Macaca mulatta: one gene and its partners. The protein of the gene in region 2 interacts with the protein of the main gene of each other region in a pairwise test. Links are inferred from orthologs where the notes say so. Each region holds a gene or a part of one and is shown on either strand. Other genes may lie near its edges.

Region 1 (3,511 bases), on a different chromosome or scaffold from region 2:
GACGGAAGAATTAACAGTATAATGAAAGAATTTTTGTTTATATTTTTTTCAGATTGTCCAGTTTATTGTTACATTGGTTCAGAATAACCAACTTGTGAGTTTAAAACGTAAAAGGTAAGTTTTTATGATATAGCATTATGGCCTGTATATAGACAGTCAGACTTGTTAGTGTTTAACTATGAGTAGCCTACATTAGCTGAGTATATGCTTGTTGTCCCAAAAGAACAATTCTCCTTAGTTAAATTATACTCTTAAAATCTCTAGAGTGATATTAGTTTTTAGTTTTATCATTCTACTGATGTTTGTGAGAGATAAGGATAGCCTAAATGGTCACTTTATAGACATACGTACAGTTAATAAAGAATATTCACTTTTCATTCACATTATTAAAGTAGCATTAGAAGGCCTGAGTGAGGGAAATTTAAAAAGAGGCCATATGTTCAAAAGAAAACATCAACCTTTGTTTTACTTGACCTCTCTTAGTTTAATCCGCTCATAGTCTTTTTAAATCTGTATTTCAACCATGGGTTGTGATACCTGTGTCAGTAGCTACTATCGTCACAGCGAAAACATTAGAAGAATAATGGACAAAAGGAATAGTTGAAAGGAAAAAATGATCTGTAACACTAAGATTTGGGGAAAACTTGATTATGATCAGAGCTTTATGACCTTAACTACTTCCACTAATTATTTCTTATGATATTATCTGTTTTTTTCTATATAAATACAGTTCATAGAGTTGTGTAGTTCAGTAAGCAATGAAGTATAACTGGAGAGAATAGTTTATTATAACAAAAAGAGTGTAGAAAAATGGAGAATTGAAAGTCGTAGATATTCTCATCCAGCAGTTTCTGTTCCTAAGATGTAATCATTTTTAAGTTTATTTATTGTTACTGAACCTTTTTATGCATTATTAAAGTGAGTGTGCATGTGTGTGTGTTTGGGTAAGTTAATAGAGAGGGAGTTTAAATTCCTTGTATGTTTGTCACTGAACTGCATATTCTTCTGGTTTTCAGGCCTCTACTTCTAAACACTAATGGAGCCCAAAAGAAGAACCTGTTTCAGCACATAGTCAAAGAACCAACTGATAATCACCATCATAAAGTAATTTTTTAGTTAGAATCTATTTTATATTTATTGTGTCACACTAAATTTTATTATGGCAGTGTTTCATGCATTCAAATAAGTGTGGTGAATAACAATTCAAGTGTTCATCCCACAGCTTTGTTAAACTGTGACATTTTTTATTATTTACTTTCGATTATTGTAAGAAATAAATCATCACAAATCTAGTTGTTCCAGTTGCCTGTTTCCAAGTTTTTCTCTCTCCCCCTCTCTTGTCTCACCTCTTTACTGTCCCTGCTTACCTTAGAGGTAGTCACTATCTTGAATTAGTATCTATCATTCTCATGGCCATTTTGTATGTGTGAATCCAGGAGCAGTACTTGGTATTATTTTGCATATATATAAACTTCATATAAATAATATAATTTTGTGCATATCATTTTACAGTGTGGCTTTTTTTTAACTTGGTGTTGCTTTTGAGATTTATTAAACATAGAGATTTAGTTTATTCATTTCTTTTTTTTTGTCTTGTTTTTTTTTGTTTGTTTTATTTTTTTGAAACAGGGTTTCAGTCTGTCACCCAGCCTGGAGTGTAGTGGTACGATCTTGACTCACTGCAACCTCCACCTCCTGGGCCCAAGCAATTCTCTTGCTTCAGTCTCCTGAGTAGCTGGGACTACAGGTGTGTGCCACCACACCTGGCTAATTTTTGTATTTTTTGTAGAGATGGATTTTCATCATGTCACCTAGACTGGTCTCGAACTCCCAGACTCAAGCCATCTGCCTGCCTCAGCCTCCCAAAGTTTTGGGATTGCAGGCATGAGCCACTGCACCTGGCTCATTCATTTTAATATAATAATTGAATATTTTGAAAATATAATAATTTAATGTGATTATATATTCTTACATTGGTTATTTTATTTTCAACTTTTTTTTAAATTAATGTGCACCAACTAGACTGCTTTTTACTCCAGCAATTTAAATTTTTACCTTCATTTTGTCACAGGCTTTCCGGATAATTTGTCAGATTTCTATCCAGTGGCAAATTAGTCCAGTCCAAAGTCCAGATCGTTTTTATTATCTTTTTGTTACTACTTTCAAACTTCAGAATTCAAAATAGTTCTTCAGATTTATTATTAAAGTAACAAGATTTTTGTTCTTGGACAATCAAACTTAACCTCACGTCTGATTTCTTTTTCCACTACTGTTAGAAAATAATCAAGCATACCTATTTTGTTTTTAGAATTGAAGGCTCATGTAAGTGGATGAAGAGTTTTACATTTTTGACTGGGTTTATATATTTTAAAGTACTTCACATCCTTTGCCTCTTTATTATCTAGTATTGGAATTTACAGATTTTTGCATTTTAATAATGACTTTAGTTTGCTTTACAGGATTGAACTTACTTTGCTTATACAGCTATAGCCTGAATATATCTGTAGATTAAGTTTAAAAAAATCATTGCTAAAAAGCCAAGCTAACCTGTAACTGAGATAGGTGAAGTGCATTTTTTTTCTCTTAGTGAAGCTATTTAATGAATAAGAATAAAACATATTTCAAAACAGAGCAGGTTGAGCTGAAACAATATCCCTGTCAGCACGGTGGCTGTCTGGTTGTGCTTGAAATTTCTGGTGAAGTCCTAAGACTTTTTTACTCTTTAGGCATAAAAAATACTGTAAAATTTGAAGATCTTTCCATAGAAACATTTTTAGGGATGTCATCTTCAGGGTCCCTTACAGTAAAAGAAGTAGTTAAGTGTAGAATGCAGTTAATATACCTCATACCTCTGTGAATTGGTGCTACTAGTACCAATTAGTATGTAAGTTCCATAAGAGCAGAGAACATACTTGTTTTGCATACCCCGAGATTCAGTAAGTAGTAGTTGCCCAGTTATTTTGTAAATGATATCTTGTTTGGTAGTCAATGATTTTGATTTTTAGATATATTTTTCTCTCTGAATTTTTAGGTTCCACACAGTAGGACTGAAGGTTTAAAGCCAAGGGAGAGGATTTCAGATGACATCATTATTTATGATGTTACTGATGATAATGCAGATGAAGAAAATATCCCAGTTATTCCAGAAACTAATGAGGATGTTATATCTGATCCCTCCAAGTAAGGAGTTTGTGAGATAAAATGTATGAAAATATTGATTACTTTTCTTATTACAGAGCAAAATTCAAAACTACTTTGTTCTTTGAAAGACTAACAATCTTTCTCACATTTGGATTATTAAACTGAATAATTAAGCTAAATTATTCAACCAGATAAAGCCTCACCTCCTCTTCCTCTCAAAGGAGGTAATACTGAAAATTAATTGATTTTTATTTTGTAGTTAAACACTTCTCATTGAATCGTTGTGGTCTTCTATACTATGAAGTACCAATATTGTGATTAAGCTGCTCGCTCAAGAAATTTAAGCCTTTCAGTATGTGGTATGGGAGAG
Region 2 (4,218 bases):
ATTTATTTTTAGAAATGAGGTCTTGCTATATTGCCCAGGCTGGTTTTGAACTCCTGGTCTCAAGCCATCTCCCATCTCAGCCTCCCAAAGTCCTAGGCTTACAGTCATGAGCTACCACACTCAGCTGATGATTAAATTACCAAGTCCTGAATCATTCCAAGGTTTGGAGGGGCTGGAAGGTTGGTTAATTTGGTGCATAATGACACTCAAAAGTAACAGGGACCTGTAATCCCAGCACTTTGGGAGGCCGAGGCGGGTGGATCACGAGGTCAGGAGATCGAGACCATCCTGGCTAACACGGTGAAACCCTGTCTCTACTAAAACTACAACAAAATTAGCCGGACGTGGTGGAGGGCGCTACTTGGTGGGGTGAGGCAGGAGAATCGCTTGAACCCGGGAGGGGGAGCTTACAGTGAGCCGAGATCGCGCCACTGCACTCCAACCTGGGCGACAGAGGAGACTCCGTCCCAAAAAATAAAAACCAAAACAAAAATAATAAAAGAACAGGGAGCCCGATGGGGCGGCGTGCACCTGTAGTCCCAGCTACTCCGGAGGCTAAGGTAGGAGGCTCGCTTGAGCCCAGGAGTTCGAAGCTGTAGTGAGTTGTGATCTGGCCACCGCCTGCACTCCAGCAACAGAGCGAGATCTTGTCTCAAAAAAAATAAATAAAAAAGGGAAAAGTCTGTTCCAAATAGCACTTAAGTTCATACCATGCCAAATAGAATGAGAATTTGTGCCAACTTGCCACATTCCTTCCACTCCGACAGTTCCATTCATTGACTTCCAGGAGACGGGAGAGAGAACCTACCTACCTGAGTTGACTTTGAAAGGAGACTGAGTGGGGCTTTTTGAACCCTGAGGCCCAGAAAGTCTTTTAGACTTTTCTTAGAACTTGGTTTTGGAGTTTGTCGTGGGGTGAGTGGAAGCAGAGACTTGTAGGATGTTTATATTGTGGAGCAAATACAGTGAGCGGTGAGGGGTATCGGTATTGTGGGAGTGAGGGGCCAACTGCGGGAGTGGGGGCCAACTGCGGGAGTGTAAGGTCAGCGGACTACCTGCAAAGGGCGCAACCATTGTGGGCAGCCAGCCTGGCGGGAAAGGCTAGACCACGAAGCGCCGCCCAGTTATCATGGTAACATTCCCTCGTCCCAACCCCGTCCCAGTTTACTGGCCCAAGGTAAGGCCGGGAGCAGTAGCCCGGGGCAACTGGGAGGATCTACTCCCTGCCGCGGCTCTCCCTCCAGTGGACTGCCTTCCCGCCTGCCTGGCGGTGGGAGGGCGCGGCAGAGGAACGTCACATCCGGGCGGGTTGGTAAGTTCCGGTATTTCAGGGCGTAGCAGGCGGAAGTAAGGGTGAGAGGAGGCTGCAACGCCGAGCGGAGGAGGCAGGAACCGGAGCGCGAGCAGTAGCTGGGTGGGCACCATGGCTGGGATCACCACCATCGAGGCGGTGAAGCGCAAGATCCAGGTTCTGCAGCAGCAGGCAGATGATGCAGAGGAGCGAGCTGAGCGCCTCCAACGAGAAGTTGAGGGAGAAAGGCGGGCTCGGGAACAGGTACGGAGATGGCGAGGCTCATGAGGGAGGGTCAGGCGCTGGAGTAGCCGGCAAGCGGAATAAGGTCCCTTTTGCCGTGGAGCATGGTCCTCTGAGGGCCAGCCTCCTCGGAGATGAAGTTGGGAGCGCGGAGGATGGGTGGGGCTCAGCTCCAGTAGGACAGCAAGCGGACGAGGGGGAAACTGAGTGCTCGGTCGAGCAGGCTTGACCTTTGAAGGAATTGAGGCACAGGGTTTGGGGTGTGGCCTTCCTCCTCTTTTTTTTTTCTCCACCTCATTCATTCAGTCCCTCTGATCCGGGCGCGGCCGGGGGAGGGGCTCAGCGGCTTCTCCCTCCCCCACTTCCCCCTGGAGGGTGGGAGAACTTTGCTCTTGCTTGAGGTTTCCTGCCCAAGGGGTTACAGTCGGTGGGTGCTTTTTTGTTCGGGGAGAGGAAGTACTGAGCCTCCTGTGAAATGGTGAGGGCTGTGGGGTGGGAACCGCCGGAAAGACCCCGGCCTGCCTGCTGGCAGCTTTTCCGCTCCCTCTTCTTGCTCAGGAAATGAGGCAGCAGTTGGCTGAGAGGAAGCGCGGTGCCCTCCCTCCCTGGAGGAGCTCGAGGCCACAGGACCGCCTCTCAACCTCTGGCCAGGGGCCCTTCCTCTTACGGGGTGCTCTTGCAGCTGCTACACCCACTCAATCTACGTGAAACGGCAGGGGAGGGGATAGTACTTCTCTCAACATTAGTGCAAATATAGGAGCCAACCAAACTTGCCTGGCCCTACCCACAATGACCTGGAAGTGTGATCAGTGCAAGCCGAACTGGTTAAGAACATTTCTTCCAAGCAGAGCTGATAAGCGAGTGTATGGCAGAGAATTACATGGCGTGCCAGTCTCAAGGTTTCTGATTGACTTGGGCAATTTGGTGGAGACAGAATAATGAATTCCAGGTGACTCTAGTGGAATATTTGTTCAACTGAAAGTGGGAACATAAAATGTTGGTGGAATGAACGGTGATTCTGGTGATTTTTTTCTTTTTTGTTTTTTTGAGACAGAGTCTCACTCTGTCGCCCAGGCTGGAGTGCAATGGCGTGATCACGGCCCATTGCAACCTCCGCCTCCCTGGTTCAAGTGATTCTCCTGCCTCAGCCTCCTGAGTAGCTGGGATTACAGGAGCGTGCCACCACGTCCAGCTAATTTTTTGTATTTTTAGTAGAGACGGGGGTTTCGCCATGTTGGCGAGGCTGGTCTCGAACTCCTGACCTCAGGTGATCCACCCAACTCTGCCTCCCAAAGTGCTGGGTTTACAGGTGTGATCCACCGTGCCCAGCCTATTCTAGTGATTTCTTTAAACGACTTTCTGATTAAAAGAGGTTGATTAATTTTAGTGTAAGCCATAAGATTTTCCAGGGTCGGCAGAGCTTGCAGTGAGCTGAGATCACGCCACTGCACCTGGGCGACAGAGCAAGACTGTTTCAATTAAAAAAAAAAAAGATTTTCCAGGGTCTAGGGTGTTGTCTAATAGATGGAGCTGATACGAGTTGAGGTTTTAGAGGATCTTGAGAGAGTAAAGTAACTGTTGCTAAAATTTAAGATCCAGTGAAAGAACTCATGTGGTTTATTCTTTGTTCTTTCCCTTGGTAAGTTTTTATTTTTGTTTTTCTTTTTGGCTGCTCCTCTGGGAAATAACTGAGAATGTTTTTGGGAGGGAGGGGGTGTATTTCAGAAAAGCATGGTAATTGGTGGACATCTGCCCTCTAGGTTAAATACTTAAAGATTGTTGGAATACTCACTTATTTTTATAACTGGGCATGGAGATGCTGGGATGGGAGCTTGTTGTCTTCCTCAGTCACCTTTTTCTAGGTAGATTTTTTTCTTCTGTTCAGTTTGCCAGCAACTTCTCATTATCTGTTCAAGTGAGATGGACTGGCTGGGTGACTTTATGGCCAATGGTACTTTCTCATCTCCTTTCTTCTGGAGACCAGATAGCTTTAAAGAGGAAGACAGGCTAGCCAGAGGAACTGGCCATGTGTTGAGCTGCAGAGTCTTAGGCTCAGTATTTAAATATGGACATTCTAGGAGTAGTTCTAAGGTGGGTGGTTCCTGCCCCCCACCCCCCCCTCTTTTTTTTTTTTTTTAGATGGAGACTTGCTCTGCTGTCCAGCCTGGAATGCAGTTGCATGATCTCTGCTCACTGCAACCTCCACCTCCCAGGCTCAGGTGATTCTCCTGTCTCAGCCTCCTGAGTAGCTGGGATTACAGGCATCCACCACTACACCCAGCTAATTTTTTTTTTAGTAGAGATGGGTTTCACCATGTTGGCCAGGCTGGTTTCGAACTCCTGACCTCAAGTGATCTGCCTGCCTCAGCCTCCCAAAGTGGTGAGATTACAGGCATGAGCCACTGCACTCGGCCTGGGGTGATGTTTCTTAAGCTACTCTCACTCAGAGCCTGCCAAATTTGCTTATTGAGCTGAGGTCTAGTGAGGAAGTCCTCAGAATGGGGAAGTAGGATAATAGTTAAATATTGATGAAATCATTACTTCTACTCCCCAGCCTGAAGAAGCTTAATCTTTTGACTTTCTGCTCTGCTGAATTTTGAACCCCTACTGAGGAGACACCTGTGGGATGGGAGGAGGGTTGTTTGGTCTACCTGTTATCCTCTTAAGGCATTCTGCTGGAATGT
Region 3 (4,038 bases), about 82 Mb from region 2:
TGGAGGTGGGTTGTCATAGCAACAGTTCTTTGGGTGGGAGAACTAAGAAGAGGTTGCCACTGTTTCCCATTCCCACATATCCCAGTCTGGCTTGTTCACTCAACCTTTGAATGGTGGGTAGAGGAAGAAAGCAGGAGGGATGAGGCCTAGAGGCGGACTGACCTTGGCCTCAAGGGTAGGCCTCCCTGCTTTGTGCAAGGAAAGCTGGGAGAGGAACAATTGAAGGACAGTCCTTAGAGGGCTTGAACCAGTCCTGCCTTCATTAGCCCCAAGGGAAACCCCTTGCCCCACTGCTTGTCCTTCCTGGGTGCAACCCAGTAGGCAGGGCAGAGCACAGGAAGAGATTAATATTAATAACATCCTGTCCTGAGGAGGGAGAAAAATAGGATGGGGATCTCTCCTCGTTCTGGCCCCAGAAGGCTCCCTCCCTTGTGCCCTTTCTCGGGCAGCCTCAGGCCCCAGGCAAGCAGGGTCAAGAATACAGAGAGACAAAATCAAAAGTTAAATGCAGCCCCTTAAAGTTTACAGATCGTTTCCACCAAGGCAGAAAAGAGAGCCAGAGAGACTAGGCGTGGCTCTTCCACTGACTCCCTATGTGAGTTCAGAATCTGCAAGCATGTTTTATCTGTAAGATGGGAGAAATGATGACCAGTTTTCTCATTTCAATGACATAAAATGTGTTTAGACTATCTGGCACAAAGCAGGTCTCAAAGGTAAACATGCAAAGTGCAGTCAGATGATCTGGGTTCAAATCATGGCCATGCTTTTTGTGTGATCTTGGGCAGTTATTAAACTCCCTGTGCCTCTGTTTTCTTTTCTCTTTTCTTTTATCCTCCCTCCCTCCCTTCCTCCCTTCTTCCCTTCCTTCCCTCCTTCCCTCTCTTTTTTTGAGACAGGGTCTAGCTCTGAGCTCTGTCACCCAGTCTGGAGTGCAGTGGTGCGATTTCAGCTCACTGCAACCTCCTCTTCCTGGGCTCAAGTGATCCCCCTGCCTCTGCCTCCAGAGTAGCTGGGACTACAGGCATGCACCACAACACCCATCTAATTTTTGCAGAGACAGAGTCTTGCTTTGTTGCCCAGGCTGGTCTCAAACTCCTGGGCTCAAGTGATCTGCCTGCCTCAGCCTCCCAAAGTGCTGGGATTACAGGCGTGAGCCACCATGCCCACCCTGTGCCTCAGTTTCTTCATCTATAAAATATCACTTACTTAACATGGTTACTGTGGAGATGAAGAGAGTATCAAGTAAAGTGCTCAGCAAGCTGCCTGGCACATGTGCTGGGTGAAAGTTAGTTTTCAAAGCAACTAGACAGTCTAGGTAGGCTCTTACTAGGCCTTGAGCTAAAGTTTGTACAGCGAGACAAAGGCAAACCCCTGCTTAGGTGGGGACAGTCACAGCCTTGCTCTGGAGAATTTGGCACTCACCTCCAACCTTCAAGGCCAAGTGCACACTTGGCATTCAAGTCCTTCTCCCAGAGGGCCTTTCCTGGCTGCTCCACCCACCAGACTCTCTTCCCAGTCTCTCAGCTCAGGCATTAGAGCCCTGGCTGGTCTAAGAGCCCCCATGACTTCCTTCCCCTGCTCCTTCACAGACCAGCTTGGCACAGGCTGCGCACACAGTGGGGGTCCAGAAAGACTTATTAGCTGACATATTCACTGTGGGCTCCTGGTTGTAAGCCAGGAAGCTGATAGCAATTCCTCAGTTCCCCAGAACTGGCTGCAAAGTAGTGGCAGGTGTAAATCACCCACTTCACCGGAATCAGGGCCCTGAGGAACATGCCAGGGCCTTGGCTGCCCTTTTGGCTCTGAATCTAGACCAGCAGCAACAGAGAAAGGGGAAGGTTGCTGTTTCCTCTTCTCCCCAAGAATGTGCAGATGAGATCCAAATATCCAGTTTACCTGGGAGATTGGATGGGAGGAGACTGAGTCTGAGGTGAGGGAATCAGCACCAATGGTGCTGTTACTCTCTGTTCCTGCTATGGGTCTAGGAACTTTCCATTATTTTAAGTAGGGCTGGGGGATGTAGAGGAAATGGAGAAGGTTTTCAGTGCCCCTGGTCCAGACAGTTTACAGCAGATAGGCCCCTTTACCCACATCTTTTCTGTGCTGAACACTGCGGGCCTCACGGGAACTAAACCCTTTCCCGGTTAGCAGAAGGAGAAAAAACCGGTTGCCTTACAACGGGGACTGGGGGGGAATAGGTGGCCCATACGGGCGGGGGGAATTTGTGCTGCGTTGGGTTCTCAGTACTTCCCAGTACTCATCTCTCTCCTCCCAATTATTTGGCAGGAATAACTTCCAAAACCCACGGCTCCCACCCCAATTCCTCAGGACCTATCAACACCCCCACTCACTCTTGGGGGACAATTAATGGATGTCACTCCATCTCCACCCCAGCGTTTACGGATTGATCTGGGAGGGATTCTGAGCAGTTAGGTGGAGAGTTTTAACTACCTCCTCTCCAGCTTAACTCTGAGAGCATGAGTTCGTCCCTCCTGGCCCTAAACTGGGGACTCGTCCCCTTGGCCCATGGAGTCTGCACTCACCAGCTCCATCTTCAGCGCCATGATCTTGTCCCCCAAGTCGTGGCCGGTGCTAGGCGTCCCTGGGAGCAGCAGGGCGCCAGAGGTTCCTAGGTCACACTCGCCTCGCAGCCCACGGAGCAGCCCTTCAGGGGTCTTCCTGCCCACCTTACCCTCCACATCCCGCAGGTCAGGCGTCTGGGACTCCACGGTTCCCTCCATGCGGGCCCAAGCCTGAAAAGGGCTGGGCAACCGGACGCCAGGGACCGGCTCGCGGGGGTCCTCCCTTCGCCGCTGCTAAAGCGGAGCAAAACCGGTGGGTCCCCGCCCGAGAGCCGCGCGGGCGGCAGGAGGGTGCCGTAACACTCAGAAAAGCCGCGCAGCACTGTCCGTGGGTATATTCGAGTGCTGCGCACACAACCTCCGGCCCTGGATTGCGTGGGGCTGGGCGGTTCTGGAGTTGGACCTGAAAGAGCACTCGGAGACCTCAGCGCCTTCGCCCCACCCTGGCACTGAATCCAGCCAGGCACACAGCAGGCGCCCAATACATGTTTGCAGAATGAAGTCTAAGCAGCTTCAGTCAGAGATGTGGGAGTTTAAGGAACAGTGGTAACAGAGAGCTGCAGAAGGCTTGGAAGTCTTCCTGGAGCAGAGGAATTGGGTCTAAAACGATGGCTGGATTTTAGTCAGACACACACACAACACCCCAGGGGCTAGAATTCAGACTAACGGAGTAGAAAGGGGCAACCAGTATTGAAGCTGAAGAGGTCCACATTGAGCTTACAAGCAAGATCCTCCTCCTTAAACTTGACTGTGCATATGAATTATCTGCGGATCGTATTAAAATGCAGTTCTGATTTTGTAAATCGGGGTGGGGCCTGAGATCCTGCCTTTTTTTTTTTTTTTTTTTTTTTTGAGACAGAGTCTTGCTCTGTTGCCCAGGATGGAGTGCAGTGGCACGATCTCGGCTCACTGCAAACCACTGCCTTCCCCGGTTCCAGCGATTCTCCTGCCTCTGCCTCCTGAGTAGCTGGGATTACAGGCATGCACCGCCACGCCCAGCTAATATTTTTGTATTTTTAGTAGAGACGGGGTTTCACCATGTTGGCCAGGCTGGTCTTGAACTCCAGATCTCAAGTGATCTGCCTGTCTCGGCTTCCCAAAGTACTGGGATTACAGGTGTGAGCCACTGGGCCCCGCCAAGATCCTGCATTTCTAATAAGCTCCCAGGTCATGGCCATGCTGCTGGTCCACGCTTCAAGTAATAAGGGACCACACTTTGATAACAAGGTTACAGAAGATGGTTCTGAGATGTTTGGGTTTTATTTAACAGGTAATGAACAGTCATGAAAACTTTGGTTTGTGTAGGCTTGTAATTCAAGTAATTCCAGCCCGTGGTTGCAGAAGGATTTACAATGAGAAGATAGTTACCCCTGCCCTACCCTTTCACACCTCTAGGCCCACTCCCAATTGGCAAAAAGTAACTTTTAGTTTTTGGGGGGTTTTTTGTTTTTTGTTT
Region 4 (4,190 bases), on a different chromosome or scaffold from region 2:
GACACTAATTTCCAATTTCACCTAGTCCTGTTAAACTAAAATATGCAAATCTTAAACACGTTTTAAAACTGCACAAATAATCTGAACTAAGTCTCAAAACCTTTTGTAACCCACAACAAAATGAAAAGCCAAAACTCTTCCTAGATGTAAAACAGAAAACACAGTGTACGTTCATCCATGAAAACCCTAAGTTTACTACTTCCTCGTTAGAGAATTTCTCTTCCTGGTACAGGAGCAGGATGGTTATCAAATATACCATGTCCTCAAATTATCAGTCCCTGAAACCAGCTACCGAGCCTCCAAAGAACCTGGCCCGGGGAGAAAAGCGAGGAGGTCAACTTACCCAAGCCTTTGCGCCTAGGTCTTACTGGGAAGGGCGGCACTGCCAGGACAAGACTGGGAGACTCCAGGCCGGTGGAGGGAAACGGCAACAGAGGTTTTCCACCGGGTATCAGGGGTGTGGGGCTCTGTCCCGTCACATACCCCGCGCCCCGGGGCAGGTCCGGGCCTCACAGGCGCCTCCTCTGGATCTCCGCAGCCCCGGGGCGCACGAAGACCCCCAGGGACCTCCGAAGGGTGGCGAGGTGGGCGTCCACCCACCGCAGTCTGACCCCACAGTCCCGGGGCGCCGCAGTGAGGCCTGGCCCACGGGCCGCCCTCCGGTGGAACCCACTCCTGGACACAAAGGGAGGAGGGCTCCCCGGCCTGTGGCGCCCTTCCCCCGACGGCGGCTGCACCCCGGGGGGAGCCCGGCGCTACTCCGGACGCCGCCGCGGCACCTCAAGTCTTCGCGGGTCGCCGACTGCCCAGACACTCCACCTCCGGTTCTGTCCCTTTTGCCCAGGATAGAGCAATCACGTCCACTCGCTCGCTACCTCTTCTCCACCTTTGGACAGCTGAGCAATCAAATCCCGCCGGACCCACCCAGCCCGGACTGCGCGCGCCCGCTTATGCAAATAAACACACCCGAAGCCCCAAGGGGCGGCCGCCGGCGCCGCGCACTCCCGCCACGGCTCGTGCCCGCGCTCGTAGAAGTGCCCGCCTATCCCGCGGAGGGGGCTTGGCTTCGCCTCAGGGACTGGCCGCGTTCCCATCAAGGCCTGACTCGGGCGGGGGCGGCGCGCCCGACGTGGCGCGCGCGACCCCTTTGTCCCGCCCCACCTCCTCGGGTCCCGTCGGCCTGAGCGCGCCCGGGAGTTTGAATTTCTTCGGATTTGGAGCAATATCGCAGTGGAAGGCGCTGTGGGGTGAGGTCGCCGCGCACCTCTCCTAGGGGAACTTTGGAGCTGGTAGCTGAAAGACTCAGTGAAGCAACGAGGATGGCGGGGAGAGGGAAGGGGCTGGGCTCTGGGCGGTGCCAAGTCTGTGAAGGGGCGCGGTCACCGCCCAGGGTTCCCGCGATCGCCAAGGCAGCCACGTCCTGCTACCCCTGGTGAAGAAGCTGCCCGGGGCTTCAACTTCCTAGGGCCTCCAGACATGTCTGAGGTGAAGAGCCGGAAGAAGTCGGGGCCCAAGGGAGCCCCCGCTGCGGAGCCCGGGAAGCGGAGCGAGGGCGGGAAGACCCCCGAGGACCGGGGCGGCGGAGGCGGGGGCTGGGCAGACCCCCGAACGGGCCTGAGCCTGCTGTCGCTGGGGACGTGCCTGGGCCTGGCCTGGTAAGTGGACGCGAGGCTGCCCGGGCCGGCCTCCTGTGGGCCCCCTGCTGTTTGTTCTCCCACCCGGCTCAGCATCCCCCCGGAGGTGATCCAACCCCCCAGAGCTGGGCCTTCTGTGCTCTGTCTTGACCCCAAAGGAAGGAAACAGCCCAGCCTTGTTTTTCCCTTTCGCGCGTATCTTATATCTCATTTTCCCCCGTACTGGTAGCATGCCTCTATCGCTCAGAGGGACTTGAGGCTAAAGTTTGGGAACGAGCCGCTTGTTAAGAGCTGCAGATTCGGCCACGCTTTCTGAAGCGCCCGCTTCACGTTAGAAGCGTTCACGTTGTTATAAACCGTTACTTCCTGTCCACTGTGCCCCAGTCCGGGACACATCTGCCCCACCCTACTCGCCCCATAAATGCCTAATGGAAATATTTGCAACCTTGAAATAGATCATTATGTTGGGAGACCGAGGCAGGTGGATCACTTGAAGTCAGGAGTTCGAGACTAGCCTGACCAACATGGTGAAACCCCATCTCTACCAAAAATACGAATAATCAGCCAGGCGTGGTGGTGGGCGCCTGTAGTCCCAGTTCCTCTGGAGGCCGAGGCAGGAGAATCGCTTGAACCCGGGAGGCGGAGGTTGCAGTGAGCCAAGATCACACCACTGCACTCCAGCCTGGGCGACCGAGTGAGACTCCGTCTCAAAAAAAAAAAAAAAGGAAAGAAAAAAAAAAGAAAAAGATCATTATGATCCCAAAGGAGCAAACGTTATAGTAGCAGAGCTTGGAGGAGTGCTCATATTTTGATCACCGTGCGTGCGTTATGAATTTAATTATTTTTATAATTTTATTAAGTTACAGATTGAACTTTAATATGGTAAAGCTACAAAACATAGCACTTGTGTTCACTTTAAACAGTTGCAGTTTTAAAACCAGGTAAATGGCAATATAATAGTGTCATTAGGAAAAATGAGTATTAGAAATAACCTTAAAACCAACTTGTAAGTTTTGTTTTCCCAGTCTTCTTTTTTTTTTCTGGGGTGAGGTGATAGCCCATTTCATTTTAGTAAGATTGGTACCTTAATAGAATTTTTCTCCGTTTTTCATTCGTTTGTAAAGTTAGTTAGTAAGACTGTTGTTAATCTTCCAGAGTGATAGAATTTTAGAAGAGACCCTGAACATCTAAACATTTTTGATGCTATTACATGTGGAATTATACTTTACTGGTGACTCATCCCAAATAGTGTATTTTTCAGCGTTAAAAGATTTGTTAACAGCTGGGTGTGGTGGCTCACACCTGTAATCCCAGCACTTTGGGAGGCTGAGGTGGGTGGATCACAAGATCGGGAGTTCAAGACCAGCCTGGCCAACATGGTGAAACCCTATCACTACCAAAAATACAAAAATTAGCTGGGCCTGGTGGTGCACACCTGTAATCCCAGCTACTCGAAGGTTGAGGCAGGAGAATCGCTTGAACCTGGGAGGTGGAGGTTACAGTGAGCCAAGATCTGCCACTGCACTCCAGCCTGGGTAACAGAGCGAGACTTTGCCTAAAGAAATAACGTTTTTTGTTTTGGGAAAGTTAGTTACTATTCTGGGATAAGCTTTAGTAGAAAACTAAACTTTATGGGAATAAAATTACCCTCACATCAGGAATTTGCAGTTAGTGTATTACATTGTAATGAATGTAATACATTCATTAGGAAGATTTAATTTGAACTATGTTTGCAAAATGATAAAACAATGCTATATCAAAAATTATTTTGGGGGCCGGGCGCAGTGGTTCATGCCTATAATCCCAACACTTTGGGAGACTGAGGCAAGAGAATTGCTTGAGGCCAGGAGTTTGAAACCAGCCTGGGAAACATAGTGAAACCGTGGCTAAACATTAGCCAAGTGTGGTGGTATGCGCCTGTAGTCCCAACTACTTGGGAGGCTGAGGTGAGAAGATAGCTTGAGTCTGGGAAGTCGAGGCTGCAGTAACCCATGATTATACCATTGTGCTCCAGCCTGAGAGACAGAGCAAGACCCTGTCTCTCTATAATATATGTATTATATGTATTTTTATGGGCAGATTCTATAATTATTATTTAAATAGTTGCCTCTTAGTTGCTCTTATTAAATCTTTTGCTGCAAAAATTGAAGCATATGTCCTTTGGTCGCTGTTTATGGCAAAACATTTATTCATAGTAAATTTCGAAATAAAAATGTATCCCCATAAGACATTTGTAAACATTTTCCAAATAAAAAGCAAGTATTTGGCATCTTAAAATACTTAAAAGCTCACTAGAATTTTGACAAAGCCATTGAGATCTTTACCACTATAAAACACATAATTCAGCATCTAAAAGTAGGTCCATCAAATCTTTATTAAATGCTTTCTGTACTGACACGGCCCTGGTGGTTAAAATACAAGTGCATATGTGTGCCTGTCTGTGTATTCTTAAATACTGCTTACTCTCAGTCTTCATCTTATTAAGTTGGAGGGAAAAAATCTGAACCCTTCCACTGCCCAAGGAGGATTTCAAGGAATTGCACTATATCATTGTCT
Region 5 (4,236 bases), on a different chromosome or scaffold from region 2:
GGGGACATGTGCTGTGCTACAAGGGTTTGTGATAAAGGATTAATTACTATATTATGTAAGAATCGATATCTTTATTTATTTATGAGACAGAGTCTTACTCTTGTCGCCCAGGCTGGAGTGCAGTGGTGCAAGCACGGCTCACTGCAACCTCCGCCTTCCCAGATTCAAGCGATTCTCCTGCCTCAGCCTCCAGAGTAGCTGAGATTCGAGGCATGTGCCAACCACACCCGGTTAATTTTTGTATTTTTAGTAGAGACGGGTTTCACCATGTTAGCCAGGCTAGTCTTAAACTCCTGACCTCAAGTGATCCGCCCGCCTCAGCCTTCCAAAGTGCTCGGATTACAGGCGTGAGGCACTGTGCCCAGTCCATTATTATCTTTAAAGCAAAATTAGGAATGCTTCTGTTCTCAAAATATCGAGATATCTGGACACTTCGAAGTCTGGGTCTGTTTAGTAAACATTATCAATCTGTTGCCTTAATGGTATACATCTAGAGGCTAGGAACACCTAACTTTCCGGGAATGCAGCCCAGCAAGTCCCAGCCTCATTTTCCTAGCCCTCACTCAACACAGAGTCGCTCTATTTCGAACCCCTCTGACATATTCTCTCTCAGATGTGAAAACTGCTGCAGCAGCTCCCTATTTGCAACACCGCACATGGAAATCACAGCAATGGACAGCCCTTCACAAAAGCTTCTGGGGAGGGAGGGCCTGGTGGCTCAACTCCCGTAATCCCAACCCACTGGGAGGTCGAGATAGGTGGATCCCTTCAGCTCGAGTTCTAGACTGGCCTGGGCAACGTGGGGAGATCCTGCCTCTATTTTTTTAAAAAATTACATATATATATATACACACACACGTATATATGCATACATATATACATATATATAATGCTTCTGCGTTGGCAATTCAGATGATTTGGCGAGTGTGTCTTTTTTCATTGCTAAAAACCTGTCACGTTGGCTCTCAGAGACTTGTGATGCCTGAAGACACAGGTAATGGGAAAAAGATCAGCATTCTGGGAAAAGGTTCCACAATTTTATTAATCATACACCATCTGTGTCCGCCCTTTTAGAGAAATGGGCGCAATCAGACAACGACCTCGGCTTTACACCTGTTCTCCATGAGGCCCTAGTTGTTTCCTACTGTAAGCCGCCCCAGAAAAGCTCCGCATCAATTAACCCACGGGAACAGCCCGGGCTGGATGATGCCCCTGGAATCCAGCCTCCCGCCGCGCCTCCTCCCCCGCAAGCTGTTCCTTCCTGCCTACCGGAAGTTCAGGGCTCCGCCCACTTCCGCAACTCTGAAGCCACCGCCGGAAACACCTGGCCTCAGCCAATAGTTAGCTTCCCAGGAATCGTTACCTCTGACCTCGGGGCTAATCAGAGACAGTGGGACGCACCCCTCGCGAGAGGTGAGGTTGAAGCTGCCTCCGCCATCTTGGAGATGGGAGACGGGCGATGGCTGTGGTCCTTCTGCTAATGCAAACAACAAAACGGGCACACTAGTCACCCCAGAGGGAGGCCACCATTACTGTAACTGTTGGCCAAAGCTACAAAAGAGCGAGGGTGTCCAACCGAGCGCGGCGACACTGAAAGCAGCTTCCCCTGCCTTCTGCGGCGGCAGAAGTGAAGTGCCTGAAGACCGGAAGGATGGTGCAGTCCTGCTCCGCCTACGGCTGCAAGAACCGCTACGACAAGGACAAGCCCGTTTCTTTCCACAAGTGAGGACCCTGCGCGCCTCGCGGGGCCGGTCTTAGCCAGGGTGGGGGCGCGCGACCGGCGGGGCCGGGGGCGGAGCCAGGCGCGTGTCCGCGCGAGGGGCGGGTGGGGTCTGGGGCCGGCCGCGCGAGGCGTTTCCCGCCGCGTCCTGCTGGGAACCGTCGCCCGATCGCGCGTTCTCGGCGCGCGTCTCCGCGGCGGTTGTTTCTTGCGCTCTCGGAACAGGTCCTCGTTGCAGGCTTCGCTCCAGGCCTCGGTTGACGAGTTTGGAGCCCGCGGGCGATGCCTATGGTGGCGCGGGTTTTGCCGCCACCAGGGTCACGAGCAGCCAGGTGTTGTAATAACGTCTTAGGGGTAAATTTGAAATATAAACAAAGGCCTTTCCCTTGTCGTGGATGGGAGGCCAGCATCGTAGCAATTAAGGGTTTTTTGGCTGGGAAATCCCGGAGAATTTTTGCCCCAAATCTCTAGGAACTAAGCTTTAAGGACCCTGAGTTTTGAAGAAAGCTTCAGGTACTGCCAAGATAAATCGTTATCTTTTCAGCACACAATAATGATAATATGGATAGTTACAACATGGATCATAATAAAATGACTCACACTGATCTTTATTTATTACGGCATTACCTGTGCATAGAGGAAGCTCTTTCGAAAGAAACTGCCCCACAGCTTTCAGAGCTGTCTTATCCAATAGGTAGCACAGTTAAGAGTGCTAGGATCAAAAATATTCTCTTGAAAATAGGAAAAAAAGTGCAAAGTTGCAATTACTTATGATAATCAAACGCTTGTAAAATGTGACATAACATTCAGCTGAATTTGTTTACAAATTTTAATTACATTTATGTTAAGTTTTCTTTGTAAGAATTCCTGACAACTATATGCAGATGATAGCTAAGAAATCAGATCCAGGGGTAAACTATACAAATTAGTCATAGGTAATTAGCTAATTATCTTTTATAATTAGGTAATTACAAAAGCAAAATGTTAAATATCCTTTCAATTTTTTTATTTTGGTGTGGAGCCATCTATGTTTACTAGGGGAGTGTCCATGCATTTTTTAAGTGTTTGATATCATGTGAGATGGACCCTATAGAAATAAGAGAGTGTAGAACATAGGTCTCCAGAGTAATGATGTTACCCCTTGGCGAAGGGGGTAGAACACTTACAGGATTCAGTTCAGGATATCCTAATATTGTCTCTTAATTTAATTGGAATTTCTGTAAACATGTTCTTTCGAAATGTAGGAAAAGGTCAGGTGATGGTAACAGGATTACATGTGCAGCTCCCCACCCACATTTCTGATGGCATGGCAGAAGGAATCTAAAATTATGGAAAATGTTTCACTGGCACTGGAAACAAGTTTAAGGAGGGTATTCACACGTCAGAAATAACTGTGTTTTTGGCCAGGCACAGTGGCTCATGCCTGTAATTCTCAGCACTTAGGGAGGCCTAGGTGGGCAGATCACCTGACGTCAGGATTCAAGACCAGCCTGGCCAACATGGCAAAATCCCGTCTCTACTAAAAATACAAAATACAGGCGTACGCCTGTAATCCTAGCTACCTGGGAGGCTGAGGTAGGGGAATCGCTTGAACCTGGGATATGGAGGTTGCAGTGAGCTGAGATCTTGCCCTGCACTCCAGCTTGGGTAACAGAGCCAGACTCCATGTCAAAAAAAAAAAAAAAAGAGAGAAATAACTGTTTCTGCTAGGTGTTAAACACATACGGATTGAATCAAAAGAAGAGCTAACCTGCATCTTATCCCTTATCTAAAAGAGCAGGTTTAGGGAGAGTAGATGGGAAAGATTTTAACAGAATCTCACAAACAGCTGTAAATTTGTGGTCCTTGTGCCAGGAGGCCCTAGGTACTGACTGAATTTTAGCAGCAAATGCTACCATAGTTTATGCTTACAGAGCCAGGAGGCCATAGGTACGGAATTTTACCAGCAAATGCCACCCTAGTTTATACGTATAGAGGCCATTTCCAGCTGAGATTTTCTTCTTCTCTTTTTGAGATGGAGTCTTGCTCTGTCACCAGGCTGGAGTGCAGTGGCACGATCTCGACTCACTGCAACCTCTGCCTCCCCGGTTCAAGCGATTCGCCTCAGCCTTCTGAGTAGCTGGGACTACAGGCGCGCAACACCACGCCCAGCTAATTTTTTTTTTTTTTTTTTTTTTTTTGAGACGGAGTCTGGCTCTGTCGCCTGGGCTAGAGTGCAGTGGCCGGATCTCAGCTCACTGCAAGCTCCGCCCCCCGGGTTTACGCCATTCTCCTGCCTCAGCCTCCCGAGTAGCTGGGACTACAGGCGCCCGCCGCCTCGCCCGGCTAGTTTTTTGTATTTTTTAGTAGAGACGGGGTTTCACCGTGTTCGCCAGGATGGTCTCGATCTCCTGACCTCGTGATCCGCCCGTCTCGGCCTCCCAAAGTGCTGGGATTACAGTTGTGATTACAGGCCACGCCCAGCCCCAGCTGAGATTTTCTAGGAGTACCACTTATCCCACCGTCTGCATAGTGGC

Evidence for each region.
Region 1: the proteins of TPM3 (region 2) and HSF2 interact in binary tests that used the Homo sapiens proteins (3 or more experiments, as listed by UniProt). The two-hybrid records come from large-scale screens. The link is inferred for Macaca mulatta from reciprocal best matches to the Homo sapiens genes TPM3 and HSF2.
Region 3: the proteins of TPM3 (region 2) and LURAP1 interact in binary tests that used the Homo sapiens proteins (3 or more experiments, as listed by UniProt). The two-hybrid records come from large-scale screens. The link is inferred for Macaca mulatta from reciprocal best matches to the Homo sapiens genes TPM3 and LURAP1.
Region 4: the proteins of TPM3 (region 2) and IKBIP interact in a two-hybrid assay, tested with the Homo sapiens proteins (2 studies listed by BioGRID). The two-hybrid records come from large-scale screens. The link is inferred for Macaca mulatta from reciprocal best matches to the Homo sapiens genes TPM3 and IKBIP.
Region 5: the proteins of TPM3 (region 2) and THAP1 interact in binary tests that used the Homo sapiens proteins (3 or more experiments, as listed by UniProt). The two-hybrid records come from large-scale screens. The link is inferred for Macaca mulatta from reciprocal best matches to the Homo sapiens genes TPM3 and THAP1.

The regions. Positions count from the first base shown.
Region 1 is NC_133409.1:27,436,428-27,439,938, forward strand, and holds part of HSF2 (heat shock factor protein 2), read left to right. Parts: intron 1-52; coding exon 53-114; intron 115-1,016; coding exon 1,017-1,104; intron 1,105-3,031; coding exon 3,032-3,180; intron 3,181-3,511. UniProt on the Homo sapiens protein: DNA-binding protein that specifically binds heat shock promoter elements (HSE) and activates transcription. In higher eukaryotes, HSF is unable to bind to the HSE unless the cells are heat shocked.
Region 2 is NC_133406.1:112,847,997-112,852,214, forward strand, and holds the start of TPM3 (tropomyosin alpha-3 chain), read left to right. Parts: upstream 1-1,412; 5' UTR 1,413-1,423; coding exon 1,424-1,555; intron 1,556-4,218. UniProt on the Homo sapiens protein: Binds to actin filaments in muscle and non-muscle cells. Plays a central role, in association with the troponin complex, in the calcium dependent regulation of vertebrate striated muscle contraction.
Region 3 is NC_133406.1:194,374,359-194,378,396, forward strand, and holds the start of LURAP1 (leucine rich adaptor protein 1), read right to left. Parts: upstream 2,808-4,038; 5' UTR 2,742-2,807; coding exon 2,544-2,741; intron 1-2,543. UniProt on the Homo sapiens protein: Acts as an activator of the canonical NF-kappa-B pathway and drive the production of pro-inflammatory cytokines. Promotes the antigen (Ag)-presenting and priming function of dendritic cells via the canonical NF-kappa-B pathway.
Region 4 is NC_133416.1:105,938,097-105,942,286, reverse strand, and holds the start of IKBIP (inhibitor of nuclear factor kappa-B kinase-interacting protein), read left to right. Parts: upstream 1-1,388; 5' UTR 1,389-1,476; coding exon 1,477-1,655; intron 1,656-4,190. UniProt on the Homo sapiens protein: Target of p53/TP53 with pro-apoptotic function.
Region 5 is NC_133413.1:44,941,708-44,945,943, reverse strand, and holds the start of THAP1 (THAP domain-containing protein 1), read left to right. Parts: upstream 1-1,431; 5' UTR 1,432-1,651; coding exon 1,652-1,722; intron 1,723-1,848; exon of another isoform or gene 1,849-2,002; coding exon of another isoform or gene 2,003-2,052; intron 2,053-4,236. UniProt on the Homo sapiens protein: DNA-binding transcription regulator that regulates endothelial cell proliferation and G1/S cell-cycle progression.